4 linked regions of the Mus musculus genome follow. The protein of the gene in region 1 interacts with the protein of each later gene in a pairwise test. Links are inferred from orthologs where the notes say so. Each region holds a gene or a part of one and is shown in the gene's direction. Other genes may lie near its edges.

Region 1 (7,407 bases):
GGAGGTCTCAGTGCTTTGGTGCAGAGCACTGGGAAAGGTGACGTTTATGGTAATGGTGACATAGATCAGGTTAGATTTCAAAAGCTCTGTGTTCACTAAGGCTTGAAGATCAGAGCAGAGGTGAGCAGAGCCTAGCCCAGCCTGCAGGAAACAGCAGGTCTATGGGCAGGCAAGGACCTAAGGATGCTCTTGTGCCCTCTTCCTAGATTGAGTGGAATCCCTCATGCCGTTGCCTAGAGCACTGTTCTGGATTCCTACTGCTGTCTCTGGTCCCCTGCAGTTTCATACTGACTTAGTGTCTAGTCCCTGACCAATTACCCTGCTCTGTGTTGAAACATTGGGGTTTCCTGGGGCCTGCAGAGAAAAGATCCTAGCTCATTTTTTCTTTTGTTTGGCCTCAAGAACTCCTGCCTCCCGCAGATTACTCTGTCTAGGAGCTCTGCTGCAGTGCTCATGAGAAGATGTCCTGTGTACTCATGTGGCACATGCAGGGCTGCTCTCCTATGGAGACATGTGAACGTGTGCTGCTCTCTCCAGCAAGGTGCTCCTCCCCTCAGCATGCTGCCCTTTTGTAAACATGTTCTGGATGTTAAGTGTGTCACAAGGATTATGTGCCTTCAGTTTTGTTGTCTGGGAGTGCCCCAGTTGGAACCCAAGGGACTTCTGGATGTTTGGCAGGCTGTGCCACTCCCACATCCCCAGCCTGCAGCTTTGGTCTCGAATTCACCCTGTGGCACTTTTGACTGATTGGGCCATGTTTGTGCGCAGAGTGTAGCATGTGAGGAGAAAGGACCCTAGTGACAATGCTGTGGGAAGCTGGTGGAGACGTAGTGTCAGTTCTGGTGGGTGGGCTGAGCCTGCTGGTCCTGCTGGCCCAGCATGCTTCTTGTGGCTTTGTGACTTGAGTATTCGCTTCCTTAGCTCTGTGGCGTAGGTAGTCCTTCACATTCCTTTACTTTTTTTTTTCGTTTTGTCTTATTTTTTTGACACACGTTCCTCTATGGGTAGCCTTGGCTGTAAGAGATCAGCCTGTCTCTGCCTCCTGAGTGCTGGTGTGGGCCACCACGGCCAGGCCACAGTCTCCCTCTAATGTGCAGTTTTATGGTTCTGGTTGGCCATAACAGACTGGTGGCGAGATGCTAGAGAAAGGCCCGGGGACCCCTGTCCCTAGCAGCTGTATTTCCCCTGATTGCTCAGCGACCACTGTGCTGTGGCTCCCTTACATAAAGGCTAATTTCCTGATAATTCCTCTTCTTTTCTAGGTGACTCCCCCAGCGATGCAGGTGAGAGCACTTCTGATGTGTTGGGTGTTGTCATGCGTGCGCACATGTCAAACGGAGTCTCAGTTCTGTGCTTAAAAACTGTTTTTTTACTTTAAAGAAATATACCTGATGAATCTATTTTGCTGTGTTTTAAGTTTCCATTTTGTATGTGGGCCATACACATTTCTGTGTTTGAATTTTGAAAAGGTCACATTTCAGGGTTCTTTCTAGTGCATAATGTTTGTTTCTTTTCTTTCTTTTCTTTTCTTTCTTTCTTTCTTTTTTTTTTTTTTTTTTTTTTTTTTTTGGTTTTTCGAGACAGGGTTTCTCTGTATAGCCCTGGCTGTCCTGGAACTCACTTTGTAGACCAGGCTGGCCTCAAACTCAGAAATCCGCCTGCCTCTGCCTCCCGAGTGCTGGGATTAAAGGCCTGCGCCACCACGCCCGGCATAATGTTTATTTCTAATGTTAAAATTCTAATTTTACTGTTTTATGAAGTATAAATTTATTTTGTTTTAAATAGTAGAATAAATTCTATTGTCTTAGTAATTTTGATTTGTGACTTGCTGTCTTAGCCTTTTTATTAAAATGAAAAACACTGTGTTTTAGCCGGATGATCCTGCCCACTTCCAATCTCAGCACTTGGGCGGTAGAGTCAGGGAGACCTCCATAAGAGAGCTCCAGGCCATTCAGGGCTACCTAGTAAGACTTTGTCTTAAAATACAAAGAAAATTATGTACTGACTGTTCAAAGAATACAGCACCCAGTGTAATTGTAGATACTTTAGAAATGGAGTCCAGCGTGACAAAGTGAAAGGCATTTGATGGTCTTTGTTTTTATAACTGAAGCACACACACTCCTGGGGCCCCCGCGGGAGTGACTGAGATCTGTCACTGTGCTCTGTGAGGAGTGCACATGTGAGTGGGCTAGAGCTTCTGAGCGATTGCCACACTGTCTGTCTGTCCGTCCGTCTGTGCACGATGTTCTTTTCCTCAGGCTCAGTTCTTTTGGCTCCATCACCCTTTATTCCTTGATTGGTCAGCCACTGTGCATTAGCAGAACTTGAGTGTGCCCATGTCCCCAAATGTCCACATTTAGATGTCTGACGTCTGTCAGTTTTAACCTCATCAGTGATGGGTGAAAAGAGTTCATTTGCATTTCAATTATTTGACTGATGCCTTTTCAGATGTTTATATTTAATTTGTTGATATTTATATTTGAGTAAATTTATTTTTGTTACTATTGAGTTCTTTTTGAATGCTGATTGGATTGTCCCCTGTTCAGAAGTAGAAGCTGGACCTGCTGGCCAAGATAAGCCGGAGGTGATGGAGAATGCGGAAGTTCCCAGTGAGCTTCCCTCCAGCCTCAGGTGTGTCCTCCGCTGGGGTTTGGGAGTGTGGTCATGCCTAGGACAGTGTGGGGCTTCCTGCCATAGCATCCGCTGCCCAGTCAACACTTGTTCTGTGGCGTAAGGGATTATTTGTGCAAAGCAAGCGGAAACTACCTGTCTAGTTTTCTTGTACCTGAGTTGGAGCATTGTACAGTTTGGAGAAGTTCCTAGTAATGGGAAGGCCTGTGGTGCTCTGATGAATGGCAGCTGTGCCCATTGAATGGGGCTGGTGTTCCTCTGCAGAGAGTCTGAGTGTCATGCCGACCGTGGCATGGGAGTGAACACTAGTGCTGGCCTGCCTATTTGTCCTGTCCACATTGAGATTTGTGTGTGTTTCACAGTCTGTTTTTTTTCCTTCCAATATTTTTTTAGAAGAATACCTCGGCCTGGGAGTGCACGGCCAGCACCTCCCAGGGTCAAACGACAAGAGAGCACAGAGACACTGGTGGTAGACAGGTGAGGCTGCCTGGCCAGGGGGTTCTAGTCACAATGAAGCCACACTCCCCAGTGCTGGACTGTGGGATGCCAAGGTCTGGGCCTGTGCTGAAAGACTTGGTAGGGTGTAGTACTCAGTACTAGGAAAAAGAAAAACTTACCTTGAAGAAATAGAGGATTAGATCACTGCCTTAAACCACAGAGCAGCAAGCATTCCAGATTGGCAAAAGGGAGAAATACGTGTGTTCATGTATCAGATGCCTCAGAAAGCATGGGCCAGCACTGGCTGTGTTTCCCTGACCTCTAGATAGAAGACTGTCAAAGTGTAAAAAGGAAGAGAGCTGAAGGTGTAATTGTGCAAGAGTTAAACAACAGGTACTCCGAGCTGAAAACACGGCAGCGGTATTGGATAGAGGCGTGGCCCTGTGAAAGGGGTCGGTCCCAAGTCACGTGACCCACAGGGCCCACTTGTGCCACCCTTGGTCTATCTTAGAGTCAACGTCAGCAAACAGGGCAGAGCCAAAGGACTAGAAAGGCTGGGGTAGAGGGCTGGGGTGGCCTGGAGCTCTGGGCAACATGGAGGCTGTTGTGTGGGAGGTGATATTCTCCCTGTTCCCACTGTTCCCTGAGAGTTCCCTTCACCTGTCTGGGGCAATGGCAGTTCAGCTCCTTTCTGAGAACTGTGGTATTTCCAGATGCAAGGGGCTGACAACAACTGGTGGCTGATGGGTCGTCACTTCTAATGTAATGACTCTTGCTGCTTAGGTCGGGAAGTGGTAAAACCGTCTCCAGTGTGATCATCGACTCCCAGAACTCTGACAATGAGGATGACGAGCAGTTTGTGGTGGAGGCTGCCCCTCAGCTGTCAGAAATCGCAGACATTGACATGGTTAGTTTCCCCGAGGGCCCTGTTCTTAGGCACACGTTCAAAAGTGAGGACTTGGCTTTTCAGCTTATGTAGACACAGTTTCTCTAATTTTTCAGTGAGCTGTCTGGTTTCTTTGTGTTTTTGTTATTTATTTATTTTGAAGTAACAAGGCTTCCCTGATCTCTCTCCTTTCCGCTCAGGTGCCGTCAGGGGAGCTGGAGGATGAGGAGAAGCACGGTGAGTATGGACCGTGCTCTTGTCGGTGTGTGTGTGGGCTCTCTGTGTCCTCTGAAGATGCAAGTGGCCATCCTGTGCCACAGGGTCCTAGGAGGGACACTGTTGCTGCTGCCATGTGGGCCTGGGGGAGCCATAGAACCTGAGATCAGAGTGGACTCCAAGCATAGTGGCATCGTATCTTGTCTTTCCAAGAAACTGTGTCTATACATGCTTATATGCACACATGAACATGAGAATAGAATTTGTTATGTAGCCCAGGCTGTCCAAAACTCTCCATTTTCCTGCCTTAGCTTCCTCAACAATGGAATTCTAGGCATATGCCACATCCAACTCAGTTTTGGTTTTTATTCATGTAATTCTTCCTGTGGCTTTAAGGTTAACTGTCCATAGCCAGCTGCACTGAGAGGTGTACATTTGTTTTGTGGTTGTTGTTATTTGCGGCAGGGTACCATTGTGTGGCTCTGGCTGGCCCAGACTTCACTGTGGAGATCTCCTTTTGATCATTTTCTTGCTTCTGTCTTGTGAATGTTGGGACTATAAGTTTGCACCACCCCACCCAGTGCTGAGGTCTAAGACTTCTCCTTTGTTCTTTCTCCCTATATTCCTCTCCCTGATAGTGCAGGTGAAAATGTGACTGGGGGTGGGGGTGGGGGTGGGGTTGAGGGCTCATAAGAGAGGGCAGCTCATGATAGAATGTTGACTGACATTCTGACACTTCTCTCCATCCCCCTATTATCCACCGCTTCACTCCTCTTCCCGTAATGTTCCTAAGCCTTGGAGGGCGGATGAGGGGTGCGGTGTAGATGTCCCACTTGTGGCTGAGCTTGTGTTGACACTTTGGTTGTGAGTTTGCACATTAACCATCGTCTGTGCATACAGACATACAGACTTAGTGGGTAGTTTGATGCTATGTCCTTTTAGTAGAAAAGAAGTTTTCCTCTGGGGCTGGCAAGCTCCCCAAGCATAAGTTTTGGGCCACATGTACAGGACTATATTGAACTTTCCTTCTGTGCAATGGGTCTCAAACTCAGTCAGAAAGTGGCTGGCTGCCTGCATAACACTGGTGCCACTGTAGCACCCATGGGTGCATCATGCCACACTGGCCATTGTTGAAGTTCACAGGGTTCACAGCTCGGTTACAGTGTTGATAATACCACACCCAGCATCGTACATATTCTTGTAAAACGGTATTTTTAAGAAGATGATTTTTCATAAGTAATTTACACCATGGAGAATTCTAGAAGTTTAGTATTCCTGCCCAATCTAAAAGAGGCATCAGCACTGTGAAACCATTATAATCGCTGTTTGCATGGGTAGTTACATTTTGGGGTGTTAATCACATTCCTTTTTTATTTCCAAACCTCCTATCTGTGACCCTGTGACAAGCCTTTGGGACCCTGTGACAAGCCTCTGGGACCCTGTGACAAGCCTCTGCCAGTAGAAGGTGCTGCTGTGGTTTGTCTTAGCATCCGAGGAAGGCATTTTGATATGGAAAGAGGAGGGATGAGAATTCAGCATTTATCTCATCTTGAGATGAGATCCAAGAGTAATGAGCAGCTCCTGGGGCAGATAAGAAGCCATAGCTGAAACCTACTGATTTTTAACAGGTGGGCTCGTGAAGAAGATCTTGGAGACGAAGAAGGATTATGAGAAATTGCAGCAGTCTCTCAAGCCTGGTGAGAAGGTAAGGAGCAGGCCTGACATGGTCGTTTGAAAAGTCCTTTACATGTTACAGTGTTCATTGATTTAAAATCAGTAATGCAGGTCACGCGCTTCAGTGCCATTCCCCTCATAGCTGAGGCACAGAGAGCTCGCAGCTCTGGTCTGTGGAGTCCCGTTCCCCGGCTCCCTAGGTGGTGTTTGGGTAGCAGCTGTTTGGGAGGCTGCTGTGTCTTCATTGCACAACGTCCCTCTGTCCTGGCCTGCTCATTCTTCCTGGCTGCTGTGACAGTGACAAGCTGACTCTTGGCCCTGGGTCAGTGTGGACTGAGAGCTGGGGATTTGTAGGCCTGCATCTTACTGTGAGTTCTGTGTGTGTCTTGCTCCTAGGGCCTTTCTTACTGGCACATACTGTCCTGTCTGCCGTCAGCCCCCAGGAAGGTCAGAGGCAAACACAGGAAGCTTCCGCAAAAGAAAGGCTAAGTCATACTAAGTAGGAGAATGGGACATTGAAACACGGTGAATGAGTTGGTGACTTCGGTGGTTTCAATGAGAATGTCCCTTGTCAGATCTGACATCTGAGCACTTGGTTGTCAGTTGTCGTTGCTGATGTGTGCAGCCCCTGCAGTGAGATTGCACTTGTTACCTTTTATGCCTTGTAAGGCTGAAAAGTCTGGTAATTTAGCTAAGATCTCTGTGAATTTAAGGCCATCTTGATCTAGAGACTGAATTCTGGAACAGCCAGGGCTACACAGTGAGACCTTGTTTTAAAAAAACAAGCAAATAAACAACAACAACAAACCAAAAACAAAATAAACAATACAAAACTGAGGGAAAGCCCGGTAATTCCCATTCAGATTGTATTAGTTTCCTTTGTTTATTTCTTCGATGACTTTCCACCTGTTGTAGCTTCAAACGCTTCACCTCCGAATGACACACACAGCCTTCTCATGTTGCGTTTTAATTAAGGCAAACAGTCTGCAGCGAGTTCTGTTTAACTGAGTTCCCTATGAGAGGGATTGTGGTCTCTCGGTGATGGGGGTGTCACGGCACAGATTCTTACTTGACCACTAGGTGGCGTGGTGTCACCAGCCATGTCCCAACTCTCAGGGACCGCTCTAGAGCGTGGTCTTTGCTGCTGATGCTCAGTCCCAGACACAAGTTGTTTTTGTTTGTTTGTTTGTTTGTTTTTTGTTTTGTTGTTGATGGTGGTGGTTTCTTTTTGGTTTTGGCTCAGTTCATCTGTGGTTCTTATATTCTTTGAGTTGATTACTTAGGGACATTGTTTCCATTGACATTCTGTGGGGGGTAGGGTGGGAGGACAGAGGGGACATACTTATTGTTGTTTCCTCAGTGACCTTAATAGCAGTGATATCATAGTAGTAGCAGCAGTAGTAATTATATTGCCATGATTTGTTACCTTCACAAAAGCTTAAAGAGGGGTCTGTCAGTTTGGGGGGACTTGGGGTTGCTTTATAAGGAAATAAGGTGATGACTTTTTGTTCTTAAGTGCAGAACACAGTCATAGTGTCTGTCATGTGGCCTGTGCATTCTTA
Region 2 (7,882 bases), on another chromosome or scaffold:
CCAAACGCTGACACCATTGCATACACTAGCAAGATTTTATCGAAAGGACCCAGATGTAGCTGTCTCTTGTGAGACTATGCCGGGGCCTAGCAAACACAGAAGTGGATGCTCACAGTCAGCTAATGGATGGATCACAGGGCTCCCAATGGAGGAGCTAGAGAAAGTACCCAAGGAGCTAAAGGGATCTGCAACCCTATAGGTGGAACAACATTATGAACTAACCAGTACCCCGGAGCTCTCGACTCTAGCTGCATATGTATCAAAAGATGGCCTAGTCGGCCATCACTGGAAAGAGAGGCCCATTGGACACGCAAACTTTATATGCCCCAGTACAGGGGAACTCCAGGGCCAAAAAGGGGGAGTGGGTGGGTAGGGGAGTGGGGGTGGGTGGGTATGGGGGACTTTTGGTATAGCATTGGAAATGTAAATGAGCTAAATACCTAATAAAAAATGGAAAAAAATGGTGTGTGAGCTATATGACCTTGGGTAAGATGTTTGACCTCTCTCTGAGTCTTGGGATTTATATTTTAATTTCGTTATTGCATTTACTTGTGTATGTGCTTTAGAAGTTCTCCTGTTGTTATTTTAAGATTTACATGGGTTTGTGTTTGCCTGCACAATGTGTATGTGTGCCAGCCATTTCCACAGTGTCAACTCTGTGGCTCCATGGGGAGGGGAGGGGAGGAGAGGGGAGAGCCTGCTGGCTTCTAGTGTCCTTTTCAACTTCTCTCTGCAGTGTTTTTACATCTTTCCTTGCAGGCATCTCTTGCTCTCTGATTGGCTCTCCTCCTAGGTGGCCTGTTTGTTTTGTTTTGCTTGGTTACTATAAAGGGAATCCTCTCCAGATTTCTTCCTCTTAAAGTTCACATCATTGGGATGTTGAAAACTACAGATTATTGATGTTCATTTTATATCCTATGGCTTGACTGTAAGTATTTATTTCTTCAATCTAAGAATTCAGATGAAGTCTTCAGGGTCTCTGAGATACTGGATCACATCTGTGAATAGGAAATGTTTGACTTCTTCCTTTTCTGTCCGGATCCCTTTTCTTTCTTTTCTCTTAGCGCCCCATGCTGCACTCCCAACTCTGCAGGACATGTTTCCTGCTCTCCTCCATTTAGAATAAATTTAGAGTTTAGATGTTTGTAGCGTGTAGCTTTAAGAGCTTTTGTTTTCCTGTGTGTGGGTATTTCGCCTGCATTTCTGATTGTGCACCACATGTATATCTGCTGTCCTCAGAGGTCAAAAGAGAGTCTTAGAGCCCCCAGAACTGGAGTTACAGATGGTTGTGAATCACCATGTGGTTTGGGTGCTGGGAACCAAACCAAGGTCCTATGCAAAAGCATCGAATGCTCTTATCTGATCTGTATTGTGTTGAGAAATTTTGTGCCTTTGTTCATCAGGGAACTTGGCATGCAGTGTTCTTTGTGTGTGTGTTCTTATCTAGTTTGGGCATTAGTGTAATACTAACGAGCTGTGCTCCTTCCAGGTTGTCGAGATTGCCAATTTCTGAAAAGTATGGTAGAGTTCAGCTGTGAGCCTGTTTAGTTCTGGGCTTTTCTTTGTTGGTGGACTCTGCTACTGTGTGTGAGGGAGAATTGTGGAGATCAGCCACATCTGGACAGCCCTCACATCTGGACAGCCCTCACATCTGGACAGACCTTGTTGGGCTACCCAGGCCACGGTCTGTCAGTCAGACTAATACATCCCATGTGTCTATATATCCACTCCATTGGCTCTGCTCCTTTAGAGAAAGAACTCTGACCCAAACACTGCCCATCTCTAGTTTTATTCATGTGGAATCACCCCATTGGTTATTTTTGCTAGAGTATTTCTGTTTGCTTGTTGTTCTTGTTTTTTTGTTTGCTTGTTTGCTTGTTTGTTTGACACGGTTTCTCTGTCTTAGCTTTGGCTGTCCTGGAATTCACTCTGTAGACCAGGCTGGCCTCAAACTTAAGAAATCCAAGTGCCTCTGCTTCCTTAGTGTTGGGATTAAAGTTGTGCACCACCACCACCGCCATCTGGTTAAAATGTAAGCTCTCATAACCTTTCCTGTAAGCAATTCTGTGGAGGCATTGTCTTGTTTAATGATTGATAGTGTGAGGGTCCAGCTTAATGTGGGTGGTTCTACCCCAGGTAGGTGGTGTTGGGTTGTATAAGAAAGCAAGCTGAGCGATCCACTGGGAACAGGACAGCAAGCACCACTCCCCCTTTGGCTCTGCTTCAGTTCTTGTCTCCAGCTTTCTGACTTGAATTCTTGCAGGCAAACTAAGACAAGGTAGTATATATGCCCAGAGACAGGACTCCTTCACTTAGGTTTTTGACTACGAATCTCCTCCTCTGGCATGTGACTGGCATTGGAAGTCTTGTGGGACTGAGGCCTAAACCTGTGGATCTGGTTTTCTCTGTCTCTCTGTCTCTCTCTCTGTCTCTGTCTGTCTCTGTCTGTCTCTGTCTGTCTCTGTCTGTCTCTGTCTCTGTCTCTGTCTCTGTCTCTCTCTCTCTCTCTCTGAGTCAGGGTGTCCCTATGTAACATAGGCCCATCTGGCCTGGAACTCGGAGATCACCTGGCCTCAGCCTCCCAGGTGCTGGGATTAAAGGTGTACACCCCCATGCACCAGTTCTTAATGTTCTGTTCAAAGAATCAGAACTGAATGGATGCCATCCAGGTAGTAGCTTGTGCAGAACCCAGAGTTTCGAGGTCATATGGGTCTTTGTGAGCAGAGGTTTCAGAAATATTCTATGTTGTGCAAGTGTAGGGGGTTCTCAGCAGATGGAAAAGTCTAGGTAGGGGAAGACAGCTCCTTTGGAGTGCAGCCACAGATATTAAGCACTAAAGGCAGATAATTCTGACTAGGCAGAAAATTGTGCACCTGTAGGCCTCAGCTATTCTGGAGGCAGGAAAATCACTTTAGTTAACAAATTCAAGGCCAGTCTGCCTAATTCAGCCAGACTATTTATGTTTGAGACAGGATCTCACTGTAGCTCAGACTGGCCTTAAATTCATATAGGCAAGAATGACCTTGAACTTCTCGTCCTACTGCTTCTACCTCTGGATGCTGGGATTACAGGTATACACCATCACACCCAGTTTATGCGATGCTGAGGCTAGAGCCAATCCTTCCTGCATATGCTAGGTAAACAAACGTTCTACACCCTCAGCCCCAGATTTTCTCTTTAAACCAACCAACCAACCAACCAATGAACCAATGAACCAACGAACCAACTAGCTGGCCAACCAGCGAACCAACTAGTCATCTATACCATCCAACCCACTATCCAAAAACCTTTCGAGAGAATTCTAAACGATCGTGCCACACGACACTGAATACACTTCTGCATTCCTAGCTCTATCCTCTCTCACCCCAGCCTTCTTCACTGTGGTGCTCAGTGGTGGGATGCTCCCTATTTGACAGCACAGCTCCAAGACTCCCGCTAGAGTCAGCGCAGACGCCACTGTGCACGCGCGTTCACCCGCACCGCCTCCATATTGTCCGCCGCGGCGCTCCGTAGCAAGCCCCTGGCAAGCTCCACGTCGACCGCGCAGGCGCCCGGGGCGCGTTCACCTGCTGCCGTTGTCGCCGCCGCCGCCGCCGCTGACGGGGCTGGATGGGGGGCCGAGGCCAGCCAGGGGCACCCAGAAAGAAGAGACGCGGCGGCGGCGACGCCGACACCCGCACGACGAGCGCCCCGAGGTGCCCGCCAGCTCCACAGGAAGGCGGCGAGGCCCGGGCCCGGCCGCCCCGCGGGTAGAGACGCTGCCGGCCCCTCGCCGCGCCATGTTCAAGAAGCTGAAGCAGAAGATCAGCGAGGAGCAGCAGCAGCTGCAGCAGGCGTTAGCCCCTGCTCAGGTACGTCGTCCCCCTGCGCCGAGGCCCGGGAAGCGGGCGAAAGTTCCCCATGACCTTTGACCTCCGCCCCAGGAACACCCCCCCCCCCCAAACCGTAGCCCTGGAAGGTTTGGGACCACCCAGCCGGTGTAGGAACCCTGGCCTGGTTTCTCCCAAAACTCCGTCCCTGTGCAGGGTGACGGGACCGGTCGGGACATTTGACTTCGGAGTTTCCCCTCTAAGGACCGACCCGGTCTGACAGATGGGTGCGATGGGTTCGGGTCCTGCGTGGGGAGCTTCTCTCGCCCGTCAGAGACCCTGACTCTAGAGTGGTGACGGGGGCGGGGCAACCCAGATCCTTTGTGATATGTGACCTCTGCCCTCTGCCCCATATATGACCAATGTCCTCTGGGTTCCCTGGACATCGCACCCGGAATGACCAGGTCCCTGTAAGTCTCCTGCTTCCAAACCCTGATCGAGGCAGAGAGTCGAGCCTGCCCGGGCCAGGCTGCTCGCAGGAGCCGAGGGCGGCGGTCCAGCGACCAAGCCTGTCACGAGTTAGTCACTTCGTGTAACTTGGGTGATGGCGGACAGGGCTCAGGGGCAGACACTGAACGGGACGGGCACCGAGCCTGTCAGCAACCGGGCTCTTGCATCTTTTCTGGAAGGTCGTTGCTTTTTAAGGGAGTATGGTTTCGGGCTGGGAAAAGGGGGCGTGTTCGTGTTAGAAACAAACTACCCCTCTCCAGCACTCAGGGTGTGAAGGACGGGAGGGGAGGGTTTCTGCTGAATCTCTCCCCAGTCTCCCTGAATATCAGTAGATTGAACACGAACGTCTTTTCTTTTATGGTTAGAAACCTGGAAAGCCCATGGCTCAAGAAAGGTCGTAGTTTGGCTAAGTGGGAAGCAGTTTGGGTGTTTAAATATAACGACCCAGCATTCTGTTTCTAGAAACATAGTCTGAGAAGATTTAGGATGCAAAAACATTTAGTTACACGATTTCTTTTTTCTTGTGTGCGCGCGTGGGCAGGTGGCAGCCAGAAGACAACCATGGTGTCGTCATTCCTCATCCCTCGGGCTTTATTCTTTTTATTTTACTATTTAAAAAAGATTTCTGGATTTCTTTATGTGAGTGTCTTGTCTGTCTGTATGTCTGTACACTGTGTGAGGCCAGAAGATAGTGTTGGATCCCAGGGAACTTGTCATGCATGGTTGAACCATTATGTGGGTTGGTCCTCTGCAAGAGCAACAATTGCTCTTAACCTCTGAGCCATTTCTCCAGCACACCCCCTGGCCTGGAACTCACCAAATAGGCTGGGCTCAATGGCCAGCAGGCCGAGGGAATCCACCTTTCTGCCTCCTGAGCACTGGGGTACAAGAGTGTGCCACCACAGCTGTCTTTTTTAACCTGGATTCTGAGATGGAAACTCAGGCAAGCATTTTACCATCTGAACTGTCTTGCTAGCCCTGGCGCTGTTTTAATGGTAGCACTCTGGGGCCAGTAAAGAATTGGCTGGATACATTCTTACCAGGGGGCTGATTATTATACAGCGCTAAAAAGAAACAACGTTGATTTGGATCTCTGCTCCACATTTATTTAGTAGTTAGTATAGATTACTTAGACCTCATAAACCTATGAGGTAAATATTATTCCTCCTATAGATGAAAATGTGATGAGACCCAAAGGCAACTGCTACATAGAATCAGAGCTGCAGGCAAATATTGTCTACATAGACTGAGAGATGCTACAAGAGACAAATTAAGTGCAGCATATGAATTGTGACCCACTTTTTATGGCAATAAGAAATGTATTTTTAGGAGTGAAGCACAGCAATCTTCCACTGTAGCACTATAGACCCTCCCACTCCAGACTCACCCCCAGGGAGTGAGGGAAGCTTCTGCTCTACACCGCAGCGCATCCTTCAGGCCTTTGGCCTTATCTGTGTACTTTGTCCTTATCCCCATCTTACTTTGTTATTGTTGCCCTGCCTGAAGCCTCATTGTTCGGGAGAGAAGCCTGATGTTCCTGCCACTGGCAGTGTAGAGAGAGACAGGAGAGCTCAGGGCTTGTGAGTTTCTGAGCTTGCCTCTTTATTTTTAAATAAAGATATTATATTTAAAGCTGGCTCATACCTTTTGCTTTAAGACCTGAGGCTTTCTAAGAATCTGGGATGAACGCTGCTTTGTTTCCATGGCAGCAGTACCTTGTGTGGGTCCTGGCGTTGCAGTACCTCAGCTCTGCTGAACTTGGTACCGCTTCTGCTTCTCGTTCATCTCCAGTCTTCTGAAAATTGCTTGAGACTTACTAACTCTGTGGAGGACGCCATATGTAGCTCATATGCCGTATTTAACTGGAAGCTGCCTTATTTTTGGATGGCTGAATTTCACATAGAAGAAGACCATCTTTAGGAGGTGAAGTATTTATACCATAAGAACGATGGTTCATTTCTGGAACAACCACTGTAGATTGCAAAATGACAAAGATGCTCGATTAAGGGCATGCTGAAAAGTTCCCACTAGTGATTGAAATGCAGATGTTGTGTGAAGACTAAGCCCATGGTAGGTAACCCTTCCTACTCTGGAATGTCAAGTTGATTCGCAGTGATTGGAGCAGTGTTGTAGTGAGGACAGGTCCAGTGGCCTGTCCCTGGCCTAGGTGTGTGTGTGGGGGGGAGGAGTTACTGAGCAGGTGTGCTGTATGTTGGTGCAAGCCAAAGCCACACCTGTTTCTTAAAGTGTATCTGCTTGGGCAGAACTTAAGGGGCAGGAGCTTAGTCAAAAGGCTCATGAGCATCCTGCTAGTGAGTCCATAGCTGCTATAAATTGCTCATGAGAAAACATTGAAAACCCCTCATTTTGATATTTCTCATACTTGTCTACAGCTCCAATAATTAGAGCAGTCCAGTTCCTAGTGGCAGGCTGTAATAGATGAGAGGACTTCCTGTAGTAACTAGCTGACCAAAAAATACTGTGAATGTTGCTTCCTTTTCTCTTAGAAAGCTGGGATTAGTTGATTTCAGAGTTACTAATTCACAGTAATTAAACTTCACTGATACTTAAAGAGATTTGAAAGTGTAGAATTGTACCTGTTTTTCTAACAATTTATTCTGGAGTGTTTGTGAGCCTTCCAGGTAATGCGGCCTCTAGTACAGTAAATTTAAAATAGCATATCCTACTAATATGAATATTCAAATTTTGTGTTTTTCCTATCTTTAAATCATGTTGTTCAACCTGGGATTAATACTTTTAATTCCTGTTTTTTTTTTAAACCATAGTTAAAAGTATGAAATACATTGAAGTATGTAGATTTGAGACTTGGTTGCCAGATAGAAGAACTTCAAGGTTACAGAGATAGATAGCATGGCACAGTGAAAGTAGTACTCCAGGTGGCTTGTGAGTTGGACCTGGAAGTCACACAGGTTAGAAGACAGAGACAATTAGAGGAGGGTCTCTAGGATCCACTCCTCAGTAAGCAGCTATTGCCAGTTGATAGCTGCAGGGGGGGGGGGGGGGATGGGCGCGGAGAGGGGAGCATCTGTGGAAGCTCTTATTTATGGTAGGCTTCTCACACTTTACTGGATGCCTCACACCGGTACTCAGACGGGCAGCACTGGTGAGCTTAGAGGGGGGTGGTCTGGGGAGGGGGAAATGGATGACGGATATGATCATGTTTCATTGTGTGTGTGTGTGTGTGTGTGTGTGAAGAATAGAAAAAAGAAAAGAAAAAGAAATTATGTCTCCTGCTACAGAATCTACGTACTGTGAAGACTGTGCGTGTAGCTCAGCCATCGGGTGATTGGCTAGATGTTGGACACCTGGGCTTGAGGCCTCTATACCCTGCACTAATTAAAACAAAAGATGGTAAAAGCTTTTGTTTTAGGGGTGTCTCTATGTGAATTGGGTGGAAATATGGTGACATTATTAATATTATTATTACTATTTTTACTGTGAGTCCAGAGAAGTTCGAGAGCTAGTCATCTAAAGTGAAGTGGTAAGGTGGACAGGGAGTTAGGAGGTCTGTGCTAACCTCGTTCTTGAAGTGTCTAACCTGG
Region 3 (8,087 bases), on another chromosome or scaffold:
CCCTGAGAATGGGCTGTCTCTCCACACTGTCTGGGCCAAATCTGCTCATCTTCCAAAGGCAAGCAGCTCATGTGCAGGCAGGGCTGGGGGTAGCACTCCCCTGTAAGCTTCTGAGAGGACCCATTCTGTAACATCCTGGATGGCAAATCTGTAGGACTGTCTGGGCACAGCACCTACTCCGTCACTAGGATGATTATTCAGTGGCAAATGTGGGCTAGCCCCCGCTTCAAAGAAAATCAGGTAGAGATTGGGGCTTGAGTTTGGATGCTTTAATGTAAATGCCTGTATTCTTCCACAATCCAAGGATCACTTCTGGAAGTTCTGTGTAGAACACTAAATCAAATGGCACTTAACGCCAACTCTTTCAGATGTCCTTCACAAATGCCTTAGGGACAGTAGACCCTCCTGCCAAATCTGTAAAAAGACTGAGTAGGACTTTGCTTTGGGCCTGGAAGAGTAGGCAGAAATTAGCTTGAGCCTCTCAGCCCAGGTGAAGTCAGAGCAACTTGGTACAGGTGAGAGAGGCTAGGGTACAGTTGGAGAGATTGGAATACAGGTGAAGAGGTTCAGGTGCAGGTGGAGAGGCTCAGGTGCAGGTGGAGAGGCTCAGGTGCAGGTGGAGAGGCTCAGGTGCAGGTGGAGAGGCTCAGGTGCAGGTGGAGAGGCTCAGGTGCAGGTGGAGAGGCTCAGGTGCAGATGGAGAGGCTCAGGTGCAGGTGGAGAGGCTCAGGTGCAGGTGGAGAGGCTCAGGTGCAGGTGGAGAGGCTCAGATGCAGATGGAGAGGCTCAGATGCAGGTGGAGAGGTTCAAATTCAGGTAAGGGAGACTCAGGTGTTGATAAAGGTGGAGACACACAGGAGCAGGTGGAGCAGGAGGACTCAGGTATAAGTCAAGAGGCTCAATTTACATGAGAGGGGCTCAGGTATGGATGCAAGTGGAGAGGTTCAGGTACATGTGGAAAGACACAAATGCAGGTGCAAGTCGAGAGACCTGGATTCAAGTTAGAGGCTCAGGTGTGGCTGCAGGTGTACAGGCTTCGGGGGTGGGGGTGGGGTGGAAAAACTTGAGCTAGAGCTGAAAGGGCAATTCTGTATTCACTGTACACCTCTGTTCCAATCGCATTAGGAAATGATCAGATGTGTGTTTCTTCAGTTCTCTGTCAATTTAGACACATTCTGAGGTGACCAGTTTCGACAAGCATCAGTGTGGGTAGGGTTAGAATTTCCTTCCACCTGGCCTACTGATTGCCCTTCGATGTCAGCTTGGTTCTCAACAGCCAGTTCCACTCTGAGGCATTCTATGTGAGTTGATCAACTACGTTGAGTGCTTCTAATCCATTTCTTAGGGAAGCCTTGAACCTCTGGCTCCCTACATAGGCTTAGAAGAAGTATGAGCTGGAGGTCAAATCTTTGTCATTCCACAGTGACCTGTTGAGGTGAGGGTGGGAGACAGTTCCTGGCCAGTGGTACGAAAGGCTACCTACTTGTTCCTGGGACTACTTGACCAGACCAAAGCTTCACTGTTTCAAACTCTGAATTCCATTTCCTTTCAAAAGCCCAGCTAAGTTAAACTCCTCCAATTCAGGGCAGCAATTGTGGATCCTGTGGAAATCACTCACCTAACACAGAGTCAGGAACTCTTTGAAACCACTATAGTTATATGGATATATGGCTATATCTATATGGTTATAAATCCCCACCTCTCTCCTTATGAGGAAATACTTGCATTGCTTGTGATATTTGACTGACAGCAGCTCCAGAGGTGTGTCAGAGGGCTCAGGGTCATCACACCTTATATCAAAGCCCAGCTCCGCAGCCTGCCTTGCACAGGTTGCTGGCTGAACCCATATTTATCATTTGAAAAGGTGACAATGACTGTCACCAGAGCAGGCCAGTCTTATTCCTACGCTCTTAACACATCACAGGAGAAAGCTACTATCGTCAAGCCCATTTTAAAAATGAGAGAGCTGAGTCTCAATAAAGCTCATTAGCTAGGTCACTGTCTCATACAAGTTCATAGCAGAGCTCCCCTTGACCCCAAGGTCACTTGACCTCTGGGAGGGACTTCTGCCCATTAGAGAGCAGGAAAGGTTTAATGGTGCTTGGCCATGGAGTGTGCCTAACAAAGACAGTTATGGTCTCTATGCTGCATCTGACACAGAGCTTAGAGCATGTTGCACTGTGTATCTTGCACTAAGTAGGAATTCAATAAAAGGTATGACTCCTGAGACGCCTTGAGAACTTTGAGGACTGTACTGGGCTGGATTTGAAATTGTTGATAAACATTAAGCGCTCCTTACCTTTGTGTAGTAGGAAGCAAGTGAGTAGACACAGCCACGGCCCTGATTCTGTTCAGAAAATGCCTGGCAGAGGATGTAGGGCAGAGAGCCTTGCATCTCCGGCTGCTGCATCCAGCAGGACCACTGGGTGTGACTGGACTGCAGTACCAGATTTCACGGAGAGATGGCGCCCTTCCCTAACAGTTGTAATTCGCTGGCATCTGACCCAAACTGGAGGCACCAATGAATGCCATGCATTAACCAGAGAAACAACTCCAATTGACTTCTTGAGCCAGCAGGGCTCACGCCCAGCACTCGGGCCAGGGTCATCTTGGCTGTTGACGTTTTCTCTGCAAATGAGGACTGAACACAGAGAGACAAGCCCCCGGAAGATGTCATATCCCTCTTGGCAGACCCCAGGAGGCCTGCCTTTGTTCTGACATCTCTTCCTGGTCTATAATTGACCAGGTGGGAAAGAGCGCAGGGGTAGGGGGCTGCGAATAGGCTGGCTTTCCCTGCCCGGGACTGGAACAACTTGGAGGAATGCCTGCAGAAACTGGCTTTCCTCAGCTTAGAGGGCTTGCTTCAAAGTCAAAAGCACTATGAAGTTGTGTTTGCCGGCTGTTCTGTTTTGCTGAGACTTACAAGTCTTGGCACAGATACTGCTGAAGCTTGCCTGGCCCTGATCTGGGTCCCTGCGAGGGACCCCTGTCCATCTAAGCCTACAGCATAGACGCCAGATACTCTAACCCCGCCCCTCCCCGCCCCCCGTGCATGTACCATACCCCACAATCATGGGTGTGGCCCCTCTAGTTCCTCCTGAGCCCTATGCTTCCAGCAGCTCCTGACGGTAGGTTGGCACACTCTCTCTCCTTCATCCTCTACTGTGCACAGCAGGCATACCGCCCCCCTCCAGTCCCTCTCTGTTTAAACCTGCTCCCACAAGCCCAGGGTGTTCCCCCGCTAGGACTTCCAACTGTCCCCTCCTTCTGAGGTAGTTGTCCAAGGTTCCCAGCAGTGTCTCTCACTTTGTAGCTACCTCTTTACTCCTGCGCTGACACTGGAGACTCCACCCAAGCTACTCTTTCCTGCTGGGGCTCAGGAGACACCCCAAACTGACTGGACTTAGTCCACCAGGGAAGGCAAGCCCAGCAGCAGGGGAGGAGACCCTTGACCACAAGCAGGCCGGGCCTGGGCGAGACAAAACCGTGAGGGTGACCGAGAGAGCTGGGCGAGGGGGTGTTCTGTGGATGGGTGCCATGCGAGATTCTTGAGGTTTTATATTTTTTTTTTACGATTTGTGGCGGCGTTTTATCCGTCCTCCTGGGTGACCCTAACTCTTCGGCCGACCGGTTTGCAGACCTCGCTGCCTGCAGCCAGGGGGCGTCGCGGAGCCGGAGCTCGGAGGAAAAATCCACCCATTTCCTGGGCAGATTGCGTCGGCCGCCGCCCGGCCTTGTCCCCGCCCCCCGGCCGCGGCCCCCGCGCACAGCCCGCGCCGCGCTCAGAACCCGGTGGCCCTTCTCGAGAGCGGAGCGCGCGGGGACGCTGCAGCGGCGGGCAGCGCGGGCAGGCAGCGCGCGCCGGGCAGGGCCGCCTGGTCACCTCCCGGCGCCGGGGCGGCGCGGCGATGGCCAGTGCGCACAGGGAGGCAGAGACCGGCGGGCGGCGGCGGGCAGAGGGGGCGCGGGGACGCGGCCGGGCGCCCCTGCCCGCCGTGGTGCCCGCCGCCTGAGGCTGCCCGGGGCGCGGGAGCCGGCGCCGGCGCGGCGCGGGCGCAGGAGGCCACTCGAGGCGCGATGTCGGTGCCGCTGCTGAAGATCGGGGTCGTGCTAAGCACCATGGCCATGATCACCAACTGGATGTCCCAGACGCTGCCCTCGCTGGTGGGCCTCAATACCACCCGGCTTTCGGCCGCCAGCGGCGGGACGCTGGACCGCAGCACCGGCGTAAGTGCGCCCGCCTTGAGCCCTCGCGGCCCCTCCTCCCTCCTGCCTCCTCTCGGGTCGAGCCCCGGGCTGGCCCGGCGGTGCGGCACAGGATGGGGTCACCCTGGGAGGGAGGGTTACAAGGGCCGGGGTCACGAGCCCACCCTCTGCCCTGCAGCCAAGCAGTGCCTTCAGCTGCGGCCGCCACTCGCACTCTGGCGTTTCGGGGCGATGCTTTTTGCTCCCAGTCCCCCGGAGGGGCTTGAGGACACCTGCTTTGGTGATGGTGGGAGGGGTTCAAAGTCCAGAGTCCTCGTTCACTAATATTAGAAAATCTTTCTTTGCAAAGCTTAGGAAACTGAAGCTAGGGACTTGGGGACTTAGCCAAGGTCACTCAGCAAGTAAGGGGTGGAGGTGCTGCTTAAAACCCTTTGTGGGCTAGGTCCAGCCAGGACTCAGCTCGCCCTACTTTGTAAAAGACGGACTGGACCAGTGCAGAGTGGGGCCCAAGGCAAAAGACCAGAGCTTGTGATCTCACCTGAGCCCCCCAAATCCCAAGGGACCCTTCCGGTCTCATCTCGGTTGGAAGATCTCAGCGTGCACTCTGGAGGAGGTTGAGAGGAGCTGGGCGGGACCCAGCTGCCGATCTGTCTTCACCCACCCCTCTCTACTGGCCTCTGACACGGAAATCGAATCTCCATGTCATCGGCAGCCTGCGGATGGGGAGCTATGGCTGGGGGTTGGGTGGAGGGTCTGGATAAGGCTGACTTCCATGATAGATGGAGCAGGCTGAGCAGAGACCACCCTTAAGTCAGGGGCCACTGGAAAGGGACCCTGGCATAACCTTCTCAGTGGAAAGGACAGGTGAGGGACCATTCTCCTCCAGTTTGATCCCAAGAGCTGGGTGGTGTGACCCACCACCACCACCACCACCATCTATCACTCTTGTAGGGTCTGCCTCTCCTGTTGTTTTAAAAAGAGTTTTCCTAGTGCCCTGGTACTGGGAGTGGTGTCCCACTCCTTAAATCCCAGAGGCAGGTGGGTCTCTGTGAGTTTGAGGCCAGCCTGGTCTACAGAGTGAGTTCCCTGACATTCAGAGCTGCGTAATGAGACTCTGTCTCAAAAAAAAAAAAAAAAAAAAAAAAGCCAAACAAAAATATCACCATGAGTTTCCCTGATAAGGATTTTGGATGCTTGTGTCCTAAGCTGGATGAATGAAATGAAGTATAGCACTACCTGCTTCTCTGCCTTCTTCCCATCCTTATCTAAAAATAGCAGGGAAGTGCAGGATGCCAGGGAAGGGCTTGGAGACTGGGTAGGCTGCAGTGGCTGGAGGGCAGGGGTCATGGTGGTGTGTATGCAGGAGCCTTGGTGGCTTCTGCCCCTGCTGTGTATCTGAAGGTCAGGGTCATGGGTGGTATAGAAGGCCTGCAAGGTGAATCCAGCCACTCAGTTCTGGGTCCTTGGTGGTCTTTGGGCAAACCCTCAGGATTGAGGTTAAGGGTGACCCTTACACAATATATTTGTTGACATCCACCAAATGGCTAGTGCGTGGGGGAGCTTCATGGAGTTGGAAATCAACATCTGAGCCAGGCTGCTTTTGTTCGGGAGACAACACAGCTCTAGGGTTGCTGCTCTCAGTTCTTAGGTGCCGACTCAGGACTCATAACAATTGTGCTTGTCTCCAAGTGTTAGGGAACAGGAGCTCAAGGCTCGTCAGCATCTTGCTGGAAGAAGAGGGTATCTGATTCCCTAAGCCATTAGCTACTGGTTTCTTATATGGCCCCCTCACCCAACCTAGTGCATCGGCGGCCCCTCCCACCTCCCCCGGCATTAATTTGGTTAGAGGTCAAAACTCTGAGCACCCAGGGTTGAACATGCATTTTAAGGCACTGTTCCTCTCCAATTCTTTGAGACCTCAGCACCTGGGTACAGGTCTCCCTCATCCTCACATTCTCTCTTTCTCTCCTCGTGCCCTTCCCTGCCTGCCCTTCTCCAGGTGTTGCCCACCAACCCCGAGGAGAGCTGGCAGGTGTACAGCTCTGCCCAGGACAGTGAGGGCAGGTGTATCTGCACAGTGGTCGCCCCCCAGCAGACCATGTGTTCGCGGGATGCCCGCACAAAACAGCTGAGGCAGCTACTGGAGAAGGTGAGTCCGTGCAAGGGGTTGATGTGTGAGTTTGCACATGCAGAGTGCAGTGTGGCGGCCTGAGGCTTGGCTGGGCCTTCACTGGCATGGCCCACGCTCTAAACATTTGTGACTGAATGAATGGGCAGATGACCGAGTGGCTAGGAGAATGGAGAGAGGACAAGGGTGGCCCTGGTTGGGAGATGAGTACACCTGCTTCCTGGGCTCTGAGGGCTCTAGGAAGGAGCTTGTTGGGAAAGCCAGAAGCATGGCTCTCCTTCGTCACATGCCATCTCTCCTCTGAGCAATGCTCAGGGTCTGGTCCAAAGGCTCCACAATGCTGCCAGGGAAACGGTGGGTTCCTGATATATGGCACACAGGCTGTCCGTGGGGATGTCTCCGTCCCACCTGCCAAGTCCCCCCTGCCCGCATGGATGCTCCTAGTGGTTGCTTCCTAACAAGAGGGCAGCGATGTTTCTATGCACACATTCTGAGTCTTGTCTCACTTCATTGTCACAAGACCTGAGCACAGCTGGTGGCACTGGTCACTCCTCAGTTTGATGTCCCCAGGCTACACAGCTGGTTGGAAAGGGAGATGGTTCTAATCACTGAACCAGTATCTTCCTATTGGGATTCTGTTTCTTGCCAAGAGTACCTATAGGCTGCCCCCAGGGACCCCAGATTCTGCAGCTGACTTCACTATTACAGGTCCCTGGAGTGCTACCATGGGGAAAAGGGAAAATGAGGGGCTGTTCCGCCCTGCCCAACTCCCTCTCCCAAGAAAAGATGCCTCCAGGCATGAACCCTTCCTACTCAGAGACAGTGGATCACGTATCACGCATACACACACACACCCCAGAAAGCTGGGCTTTCCCTACTGATTGGCTTTGGACTTTTCAAGCCCTCACCTGTGTGAGATCTGCAGGGGCGAGGCATCCTCTGTAAACTTGAAGAGAAGCCCTGGGAACAGAAATCATCTTTGCAAAGGCAGAATGGCTTTGGAGCCCAGCCTGATCCCTGCCAGGCCTCAGCCTTCCCAGCTGTAGCTGGGCTACAGCTGGGCTCCAATACCTTGGGCAGACTCAGCTGCTAAGGCAGGAAGCGCCTGGGCATTGAGATGACTCTCAGGTTGTTGCCAGTCCCTGTGTGGGAGCGACCTGGGACCTTATTTCCATCATGGTACCTGTGAGTCTGCCCCCCCCCCAAAGGGGTGGAGCGTGTGTTGGTGTCTTGGCCTGTTTTGCCACCTTTAGCCACCAGAGTAAATAGCTTGAAAAGAGTTCAAGTAAAATATATTTAACAGATCCTGCGGACATTTATTTACACCAAACTAGACAGGAGCCTAATTGAGCCTTTAATTATTCAGAACTGTAGCAAAGGGGCGGGGCTGGAGGTACTGAGGCCCAAGCCAAGGGACCCTGGGAGAAGGGCTAAGCTGGGAAATGGTTCCAGAAAGCTCTGGGGGCTCCTGAGAATGAGGCCGCACGGCTTTTCTCTCTGCCTATGCAGGCCACAGTTTTGCTGCTTAAAAATTTAAAGCCCCATTTCACGCCGCGCAGACTCTATTTTGGGAGGGCCTGCGCAATGGCTGGAAAGAGGCGCTTCATTTACTGTGCCTGCCAGCATTGATGAGCCAAGCCTGCTCCCCATTCGTGCGCTAAGGCTGGGCCTGGTCAGCACTCCTCCTTTTTCTTCTACTCTTCCCTGCCTGTGGGGCGGGGCCCGGCCTGGCACCTGCCATCTCAGGCAACAG
Region 4 (7,992 bases), on another chromosome or scaffold:
GGCATTTCCTTTAGAGATAGCCACTGCTGGTTTAATAGATAACAAAGGATTAATTTCCTCAGTGAAAGGTGAAAAAGGCAGTATTTCAAGGGGTGGGGCTGAGGGTACTACTTCCTCAGGTGAGATAAACACTTGAGAATCTGAAGATTCAAAGTTCTCAGATTCAATAGGGTCCTCCCACACATCTCCATCCCAAGTTATAGGATCCCATTCTTTACCAATTAATGCTCTTACTTTACCTGCTGACACTTTCCGAGGCTGGGACTTGAATTTTCCCTGTAACTCGGCTAACCGAATAATGAGAGCTTCAGTTTGGTTTTCCATAAACTGAGCTTTGTGGCTGCTGGAGAGAAGATTCTTTTCCAGGGCACACTTAGAAACCTTTAGATTGTTTATGAGCATCTGAAGATGGTCAATTTTATCATTAAGTTCTTTGTTGTCCTTCACCATATTCTGCAGTTGGTTAATTTTATCCCGGAGCTCATTCCTATCCTTTATCAGTTTATCCAGAGATGCTAAAAGCAACCAACCAGCAGCATCATTTTCCTTATTTTCCCCCAAACTGTCAAAAGTTTCATATACAGGGTCACCTAATCCATTGTCGCTCACAATTGGTGAGCCAGGATAATCAAATTCATTTATCTCTTTAAGTTTGTAATACAGTTCATACCATGGGCCTTCAGTACTCTCCAAGCTCCCAGGAGAGGGGGTGACTGGAGAGACTTCAGTAGCTGAAGGTGCCGGCGAATTGAAATGCCTATTCCAGATACTTAAAAGATTCATCCTTATACTTCTGCTTCTCTAGAACCACTTCTGGTACCAAAATCTGTATTAGTCAGGGTTCTTTAGAGTCACAGAACTTATGGAATCAATCTCTCTCTCCTTCCTCTGTAGTCCAGCTAATCCAACAATAAAAAGTCTAAAAATCTAGTGGTTGCTCAGTCCCACAAGGCTGCATGTCTCAGGTGGTCTTCAGTATATGCTGCAATCCAGAAGTAGGTTGTAATACCAGTGAGGGAATGGATGTGCTAGCAAGGCAAGAGCAGATAGACAAAGAGTAAAAGCTTCCTTCTTTTACGTCCTTATACAGACATCCAGCTGAAAGTATGGCTCATATGTTCACAAAAGACATCTCTTAAGATTTGGATTAAAGACTTGTGTCTTCCCACCTCGAGATTGAGATTAAAAATGTGTGTCTTCCTACCTCAAAGGTCTGGACTAGAAGTGGATTCATCCACTTTAAGCAGACAATCTCTCACAGGTGTGCTCTTCTCCATTTCTGGGTTGTAGGTGATTCCAGATATAGTCAAGTTGACAACGAAGAATAGTCATCACAGTCCTGAAAACTATAGAAGGGAGTTATCAAACATCATTTTCAAGTGTTTATTTTGAATAGTGTAACTGTGTGTGACAACTATGACAGCTCCAAAATCATTCCAATGAATCCTTTTGTATATGTGTATTCTGGAGCATAACTAACTTGTTTTAAAGCAGATCCCCACGCCACGGATCAGTCAGATATACAGGAATCCAGGCATGATCAGCGCAGTAAGAGGAACTGTGGTGAATGGCTCAGAATTAAAAGTACACACCACTTTCCTTAGATAGCTGGCTGGAGAGTTCACACTAGTATGGTCTCATCTTAACCCAATCACATCTGTGAAGACTCCACAATATTTCCAAATGAGTTCACATGTATAGGTACCAAGAGTTAGGATGGGAATGTATCCACTTGGAGATGTATTTCAACTCACAACAGGGAAAAAGAGACTTCCTCATTTTACAAGTTCTTATTGGCTTTCATTTTGGTAAAGTAGAGGATGGGAAATGTGGGGTCTTTTTTTGTTTGTTTGAAGTGAAGTAATCATGAAACATGTATTTATAGAGTTTCCCATGCAACTGACTTTCTGAGGGACATTTGGGAAAATGTATGTTGGCTGAGTGAGGAAGATGTGGAACCTATCTCTTTGTTTCTGGATATGGGGCGCTAATCTCAGATACTGCATCCTAAGGACACACCACCTATGTTCAAAGACAGTTGCCAGGGCTGCTGTGCAGAGAGGGGCCTACATGGCACTTGGAGGACTAATTCACATAATAAAAGGGGCAATATTGGAGCATCTGACTTGAATCCACACCACAGACAAGGATAGATCTCAATAGGTTGATGAAGTATGTTCTGTTGTCAAAATACCAATCCTTTGTAACAATTTTCTAGCAGGTGACATTAACATGTTTTAAGGAAGAGATACCTTTTTTAAAGTTAGCATAAAGATGACAGAATGTTGAGTGGAAGAAGTCACTGTCATGATCCTTTGGAATAGCCTATGTGAAAGAGGACTGGTTCAACTGTGGATTTATTAGGCCTCTCGATTACAAATAATGGAAAGCTAACTTCAATGACTAAATCCAAAAGGGGGATATGGAAGTAGTTACGACTTGGGAATGTTCTAGATCCAGGGACCATGTAGTTCAAAATACAATTGTTAGGTGCCACACAATTGGTAGGTTAGAGGCTTATCAGCTAGCAGAAACACTGACCTCTTTTGGATCCTAGCGTTAAGATCCCCAGAGAGGAGTGTTCAGATTTGCTTTGATCTGGTCAACCAAATGGTGTGTGACCTGGGTGTGTGGGATAAAAACCATACAACTAAGTGATGTTGGCAGGAGGTAATGGTTACACATCTTTACAAGAGAGCATTGCAAAGAGTACCAGAGGCAGAAAATGGCTTGTTAACCTGTCATCCTGTCAGATGACAGGAGTGAAATGAGATTGTAGGTCACTAAACCCAAGTGTTCTTCATAACACTACACTACCTCCCTCTCAACTGAAAGCAGTGATATTTTGATACAATTTCCTATTTCAAGGAAAAAAATCGTAACAAAAATCGAATCGGAAAATCCGTCATGTCTTCTAGAAGGGGCAAACGGAAGCATGAACAGTGACAACAAACCAGAGCCGCTATGCACGGAATAAAATCTTTCCCTAGGGACCTGGGGTGACACCAAGTAATTAATTGCTCTGGAATAGTGGAGAAATCTGCGTGGGAAAAGAGAGAGGAGATGGCAGAGAGTCTGACAATTTCCACTTCACCGAGACTTTGTGGACTCGCAGCCGCCCTCTGATTTGATGAACAAGTTGTTTGTTCCACTCTTCAGAGGACGACCCCGGATTCCAGGGGCGAGACTCCCGCAACTCACCGAGTTTGTTCCACAGACACCCAACAGCGAGGGATGAGGGAAAGCGGCTGACGTGACGCTTCCCAAGGGTCCCTAGGGCGTCGCCTCGAACCCCTTGTGGCTCTTCCAGGAAGGAGAGCGAACACTTTGGGGCGAGCAGTCGCTCAGTCCCTCAGGTTAGAGTTAGGATCTTGAGTCCGTCCGGCATCCTCGGCGCTTGGCGCTGCGAGTTGGAGCTCCTAGAAAGAGAACGGACTCGTTTGCATCTCCCCGAGGACTCAGCGAAGTCCTCGTCGGTCGCCGGGATGCCCAGCGCAGCGCTCCGTTAAACAAACAGACAAACAAACAAGCAAACAAACAAACAAACAGCGCTCCCTGGGGACCAAGCGTGCTGAGGAACGCCACACCCCTCACATTTATTCCCCACCCCCGGCACTGCCCTCCGCGTGACGTCAGGACCAATCCCTTCACTGCGTTCCCGGTCAAGTTCCAACTCTGGCATCTCGCGAGAGTTTTGTTTTCCTTCACCCTAGTCTCGGACCTGCGCGCGACACGTCGGGCGCCTTGGCACCTGCGGTTTGATTAGTCTCCATCAGTCTTAAGGTTGCAGCCTGGCCGCCCGCGTCTTTTGCCTTCGGCCGCTAAGATCTCGCGAGATTTCCCGGGGCTGCCCACGCCGCGCCTGCGCAGAGCTCTTCAAAGCAGAAGGTCGCTCTTGGGAGGAAGTGGCCTTTTGCGTCCCGTGCCCGGAGCGCCGTTACTACTTTCTCGAAGCTCTCCTCGGCTCCCTTGCCGGGACACTCTGCCGCTAAGATGCCCCGGATTATGATCAAAGGGGGAGTGTGGAGGAACACGGAGGTGAGGCAGCTTTTCCCGCCGTCCGCAGCCCTCCGCCGGCTCTGGTAGCGTGTGCGCACGCGCGGGGAAGCTCCGGGAGCCGTGGCTGTCCCGCGGGGGTCTGCGGTGCGGGGCGGCGACTGCGCGGACCCCGGGGACCCTCGCGGTGCATGGGTGCGGGCTCGGGTCACCTGGCTCACCCCGGGGGCGAGGTCGCGACTTGTCGCCCGGCGCTCCTCGCTTGGCATTTGCTAGGCCCTTGATCACTTATTTGATCAGTTAGGGACGCGCCCCCTCGGTGTCTTCTGCAGCCCGGTGGCCGCCGACCGGACCTCCCCCGGAGCCTGGTGTTTCTCCAGCTCCTTTCGATCTCAGCTCGTGCACAGCGCTTCGCTCTGTTAGAAGCCGTTGTGGCTGCAACTTTGTTTTTTCCGTGACTTCTTTACAGCCGGACAGGCTGCCCGTTTACGTCTGCACCTCTCTGCTTATCTTAGGACCTGGGTCCTTTCTCTTACCTTTCCAGTCACGCCACCCTTGCCGGGATAGAAGCCAGTTAGGACAAACTTACCTACGGTGGTGTTTGCGTCCAGAAATGTTGTAGATTATGTCACGGTGAGCGGAACAGCAGAAGGAAGGAAGTAAAATAGAAATTAAGTTAACGTGCATTTAATCGAGTGCGCCGAATGTATGAGCACCTTTCCGTCTGTCTTGTGCGTTCTTGAGATAGCTCCTTATTGCTTTGGCATCTTTCTGAACATGCTCCAAACTTAGCTGAGAACACTTCTTAGAGTCCTCCTGGCCCATTCGTTGGTCGTCCCGTTGAGAGTTAGTTGTTTAGTGGTTTGGTGGCACCTATTTTTCATTTACTACAGCTTTGTTTTCACAAGCACTTTTGTGTGGCTCCGGCTGAGTTACTTCTGAGAGCCTCAGATTACTCATTTTTATAAGACAAATAAATAATTGTATTTAAGCTCTTGAAACGAGTTGCCAGTTTGGAACATTGTGAACGCAGCTGGGTACATTAGTAGGCTTTCAGTAAAAAAAATGAGTTGCTGTTGTCTTCATCAGACAGCAGTATAGTAGGACCAGGCTTTGGCATTCTAGTATGAAGCAGGTTTCTTGGTGATGTTTGGGAATGAATCTTGTAGGATAGGTACCTGTTGTATGTATTTGGTTGAAGATGCGTTGAAGTTTTGAAAAACTTTACCAAAGTTACAAATGGAGGCACTGAAAAGGGACTTGCATGCACTAAGACAATTTAAACTAGAAGAGTTGGCTTCTGAGGAAGAAGCAGAGTCACAAAATCAAGTAACATCAGGATTCCTCTATAATGGCCAAAACCCAGCAGAGTGTGTGTGTGTGTCTGTGTGTCGATGTCTGTCTGTCTGAGATAGGGTCTTATGTAGCTTAGATTGACTTTGAACTTGCTATGTAGATGAGAGTGACCCTTAACATCTGATCCTCCTGCTTCTACCTCTCCTGTTCTGGCATAAGAGGTGTGTACTGTCATGTGTAAAGTCTTATGGGAATCTAATCCAGGACTTAAAGTATGCTAGGTGGGTATGCTACCAGTTAGCAGTGGGAGAGAAGATGGAGTGGAGGGTTTTATGTAGAAGACAGGCAATTCAAGTTCATTGTAGAAAAAGCCTAAAAGTAAAGTGCTCAAGTGCATTCATCTATGACTCTTAGGTCTGTGAGCTCGCGTGGCAGGATGTCTGGGGATTGGGCTATACTTTGGGTACTCTGGTGAAATGGTTTTTAGAGATTGGAGTAGGTAGACAGGGCGCTGACTGATGAGGTAGAGGAGCTGTGGATCCTGGGCTGTTGTGAGTAGGATGCCTGCCAGAGAGGAACTGTGTTGAACCAGAGTCTCAAGTTTCTTCTTTGATTCTCTCTCCAGAAGTATAGAAGACCTGCTTCAAGGTAGATAGTCAGGAAATTTTTTGTTCTTGTTTTGAGAAAATATATAAATGTATGTGAACTTTGTGAGGAGAATGGCAGGTACATGCCAGTGAATAATTTTGTCTGTCATAAAGTAGTGTTTTTAACATTGACTTTTTCCACCTCCAGTTTGTTGAGGGCCAGGTAAGATGTCCTTTTTTTCTGTTTTTTTTTTTTTTTTTTTTTTTTCTGTGGCTGGTGAGCCAGCAGTTAAGAGCACTGACTGTTCTTCTGAAGGTCCTGAGTTAATATCTCAGCCAACCACATGATGGCTCAAAACCACCTGTAATGAGATCTGATGTCCTCTTCTGGTGTGTCTGAAGACAGCTACAGTATACTTATGTTTAATAATAAATAAATCTTTGGGCAGTAGCGAGTAGGGGCCTGAGTGAGCAGAGGTCCTGAGTTCAGTTCCCAGCAACCATATGATGGCTCACAACCATCTACAGCTACAGTGTATTCATATACGTAAAATAAATAAATAAATAAATAAATCCTTTTTTTATTACATATTTTCTTTATTTACATTTCAAATGCTATCCCAAAAGTTCCCTATACCCTCCCTCCCACCCTGCTCCCCTACCCACCCACTCCCATTTCTTGGCCCTGGCATTCCCCTGTACTGGGGCATATAAAGTTTGCAAGACCAAACTGGGTCTCTCTTCCCAATGATGGCCAACTAGGCCATTGCCGCAGACCCTCTGGGCCCCTTTGTCTGTGTGGAACGGGTCTCCAGTCTCGGGTGGGCAAAGCGTCGTATGGAATGACAGACAGATGCACACAGGAGACGTTGTGTAGAATCTGAATGTAATTTGTCAAATCGAGCATCAAACTTTTTATACAGAAGAAAATAGGGAAGTTGGGTGACACACCAGCAAGGGCCCTGTGTTCCATCCTATAGATGACTGTGAACATCCACTTCTGTATTTGCCAGACACTGGCATAGCCTCACCCGACACAGCTATATCAGGGTCTTTACAGCAAAATCTTGCTGGCATGTGCAATAGTGTCTGGGTTTGGTGGCTGATTATGGGATGAATCCCTGGGTTGGGTAGTCTCTGGATAGTCCATCCTTTCGTCTTAGCTCCAAACTTTGTCTCTGTAACACCTTCCATGGGTGTTTTGTTCCCTATTCTAAGGAGGAATGAAGTATCCACACTTTGGTCTTCGTTCTTTTTGATTTTCTTCTGTTTTGCACCTTGTATCTTGAGTATTCTAAGTTTCTGGGCTAATATCCACTTATCAGTGAGTGCATATCATGTGAGTTCTTTTGTGAGTGGGTTACCTCACTAAGGATCCATCCATTTGCCCAAGAATTTCATAAATTCATTGTTTTTAATAGCTGAGGAGTACTCCATTGTGTAAATGTACCACATTTTTTGTACCCATTCCTCTGTTGAGGGACATCTGGGTTCTTTCTAGCTTCTGGCTATTATAAATAAGGCTGCTATGAACATAGTGGAGCATGTGTCCTTCTTACCAATTGGAACATATGCCCAGGAGAGGTATTGCTGGATCTTCTGGTAGTACTATGTCCAATTTTCTAAGGAATCGCCAGACTGATTTCCAGAGTGGTTGTACAAGCTTGCAATCCCACCAGCAATGGAGGAGTGTTCCTCTTTCTCCACATCCTCGCCAGCATCTGCTGTCACCTGAATTTTTGATCTTAGCCATTCTGACTGGTGTGAGGTGGAATCTCAAGGTTGTTTTGATTTGCATTTCCCTGATGATTAAGGATGTTGAACATTTTTTCAGGTGCTTCTCAGCCCTTCGGTATTCCTCACTTGAGAATTCTTTGTTTAGCTATGTACCCCATTTCTTAATGGGGTTATTTGAATTTCTGGAGTCCAGCTTCTTGAGCTCTTTGTATATATTGGATATTAGTCCCCTATCAGATTTAGGATTGGTAAAAATCCTTTCCCAGTCTGTTGGTGGCCTTTTTGTGTTTGACAGTGTCTTTTGCCTTATAGAAGTTTTGCAATTTCATGAGGTCCCATTTGTCAATTCTTGATCTTATAGCACAAGCCATTGCTG

The links.
Region 2: the proteins of Traf3ip1 (region 1) and Golga4 interact in a two-hybrid assay, tested with the Homo sapiens proteins (2 studies listed by BioGRID and IntAct). The link is inferred for Mus musculus from reciprocal best matches to the Homo sapiens genes TRAF3IP1 and GOLGA4.
Region 3: the proteins of Traf3ip1 (region 1) and Olfm1 interact in a two-hybrid assay, tested with the Homo sapiens proteins (2 studies listed by BioGRID and IntAct). The link is inferred for Mus musculus from reciprocal best matches to the Homo sapiens genes TRAF3IP1 and OLFM1.
Region 4: the proteins of Traf3ip1 (region 1) and Cdc5l interact in a two-hybrid assay, tested with the Homo sapiens proteins (2 studies listed by BioGRID and IntAct). The link is inferred for Mus musculus from reciprocal best matches to the Homo sapiens genes TRAF3IP1 and CDC5L.

The regions. Positions count from the first base shown.
Region 1 is NC_000067.6:91,517,032-91,524,438, forward strand, and holds part of Traf3ip1 (TRAF3-interacting protein 1), read left to right. Parts: intron 1-1,262; coding exon 1,263-1,283; intron 1,284-2,546; coding exon 2,547-2,631; intron 2,632-3,024; coding exon 3,025-3,108; intron 3,109-3,852; coding exon 3,853-3,976; intron 3,977-4,155; coding exon 4,156-4,192; intron 4,193-5,799; coding exon 5,800-5,876; intron 5,877-7,407.
Region 2 is NC_000075.6:118,502,707-118,510,588, forward strand, and holds the start of Golga4 (golgin subfamily A member 4), read left to right. Parts: upstream 1-3,611; 5' UTR 3,612-3,779; coding exon 3,780-3,851; intron 3,852-7,882. UniProt on the Homo sapiens protein: Involved in vesicular trafficking at the Golgi apparatus level. May play a role in delivery of transport vesicles containing GPI-linked proteins from the trans-Golgi network through its interaction with MACF1. Involved in endosome-to-Golgi trafficking.
Region 3 is NC_000068.7:28,201,873-28,209,959, forward strand, and holds the start of Olfm1 (noelin isoform a precursor), read left to right. Parts: upstream 1-3,816; 5' UTR 3,817-4,077; coding exon 4,078-4,227; intron 4,228-6,205; coding exon 6,206-6,355; intron 6,356-8,087. UniProt on the Homo sapiens protein: Contributes to the regulation of axonal growth in the embryonic and adult central nervous system by inhibiting interactions between RTN4R and LINGO1. Inhibits RTN4R-mediated axon growth cone collapse.
Region 4 is NC_000083.6:45,429,437-45,437,428, reverse strand, and holds the start of Cdc5l (cell division cycle 5-like protein), read left to right. Parts: upstream 1-3,721; 5' UTR 3,722-3,993; coding exon 3,994-4,038; intron 4,039-7,992.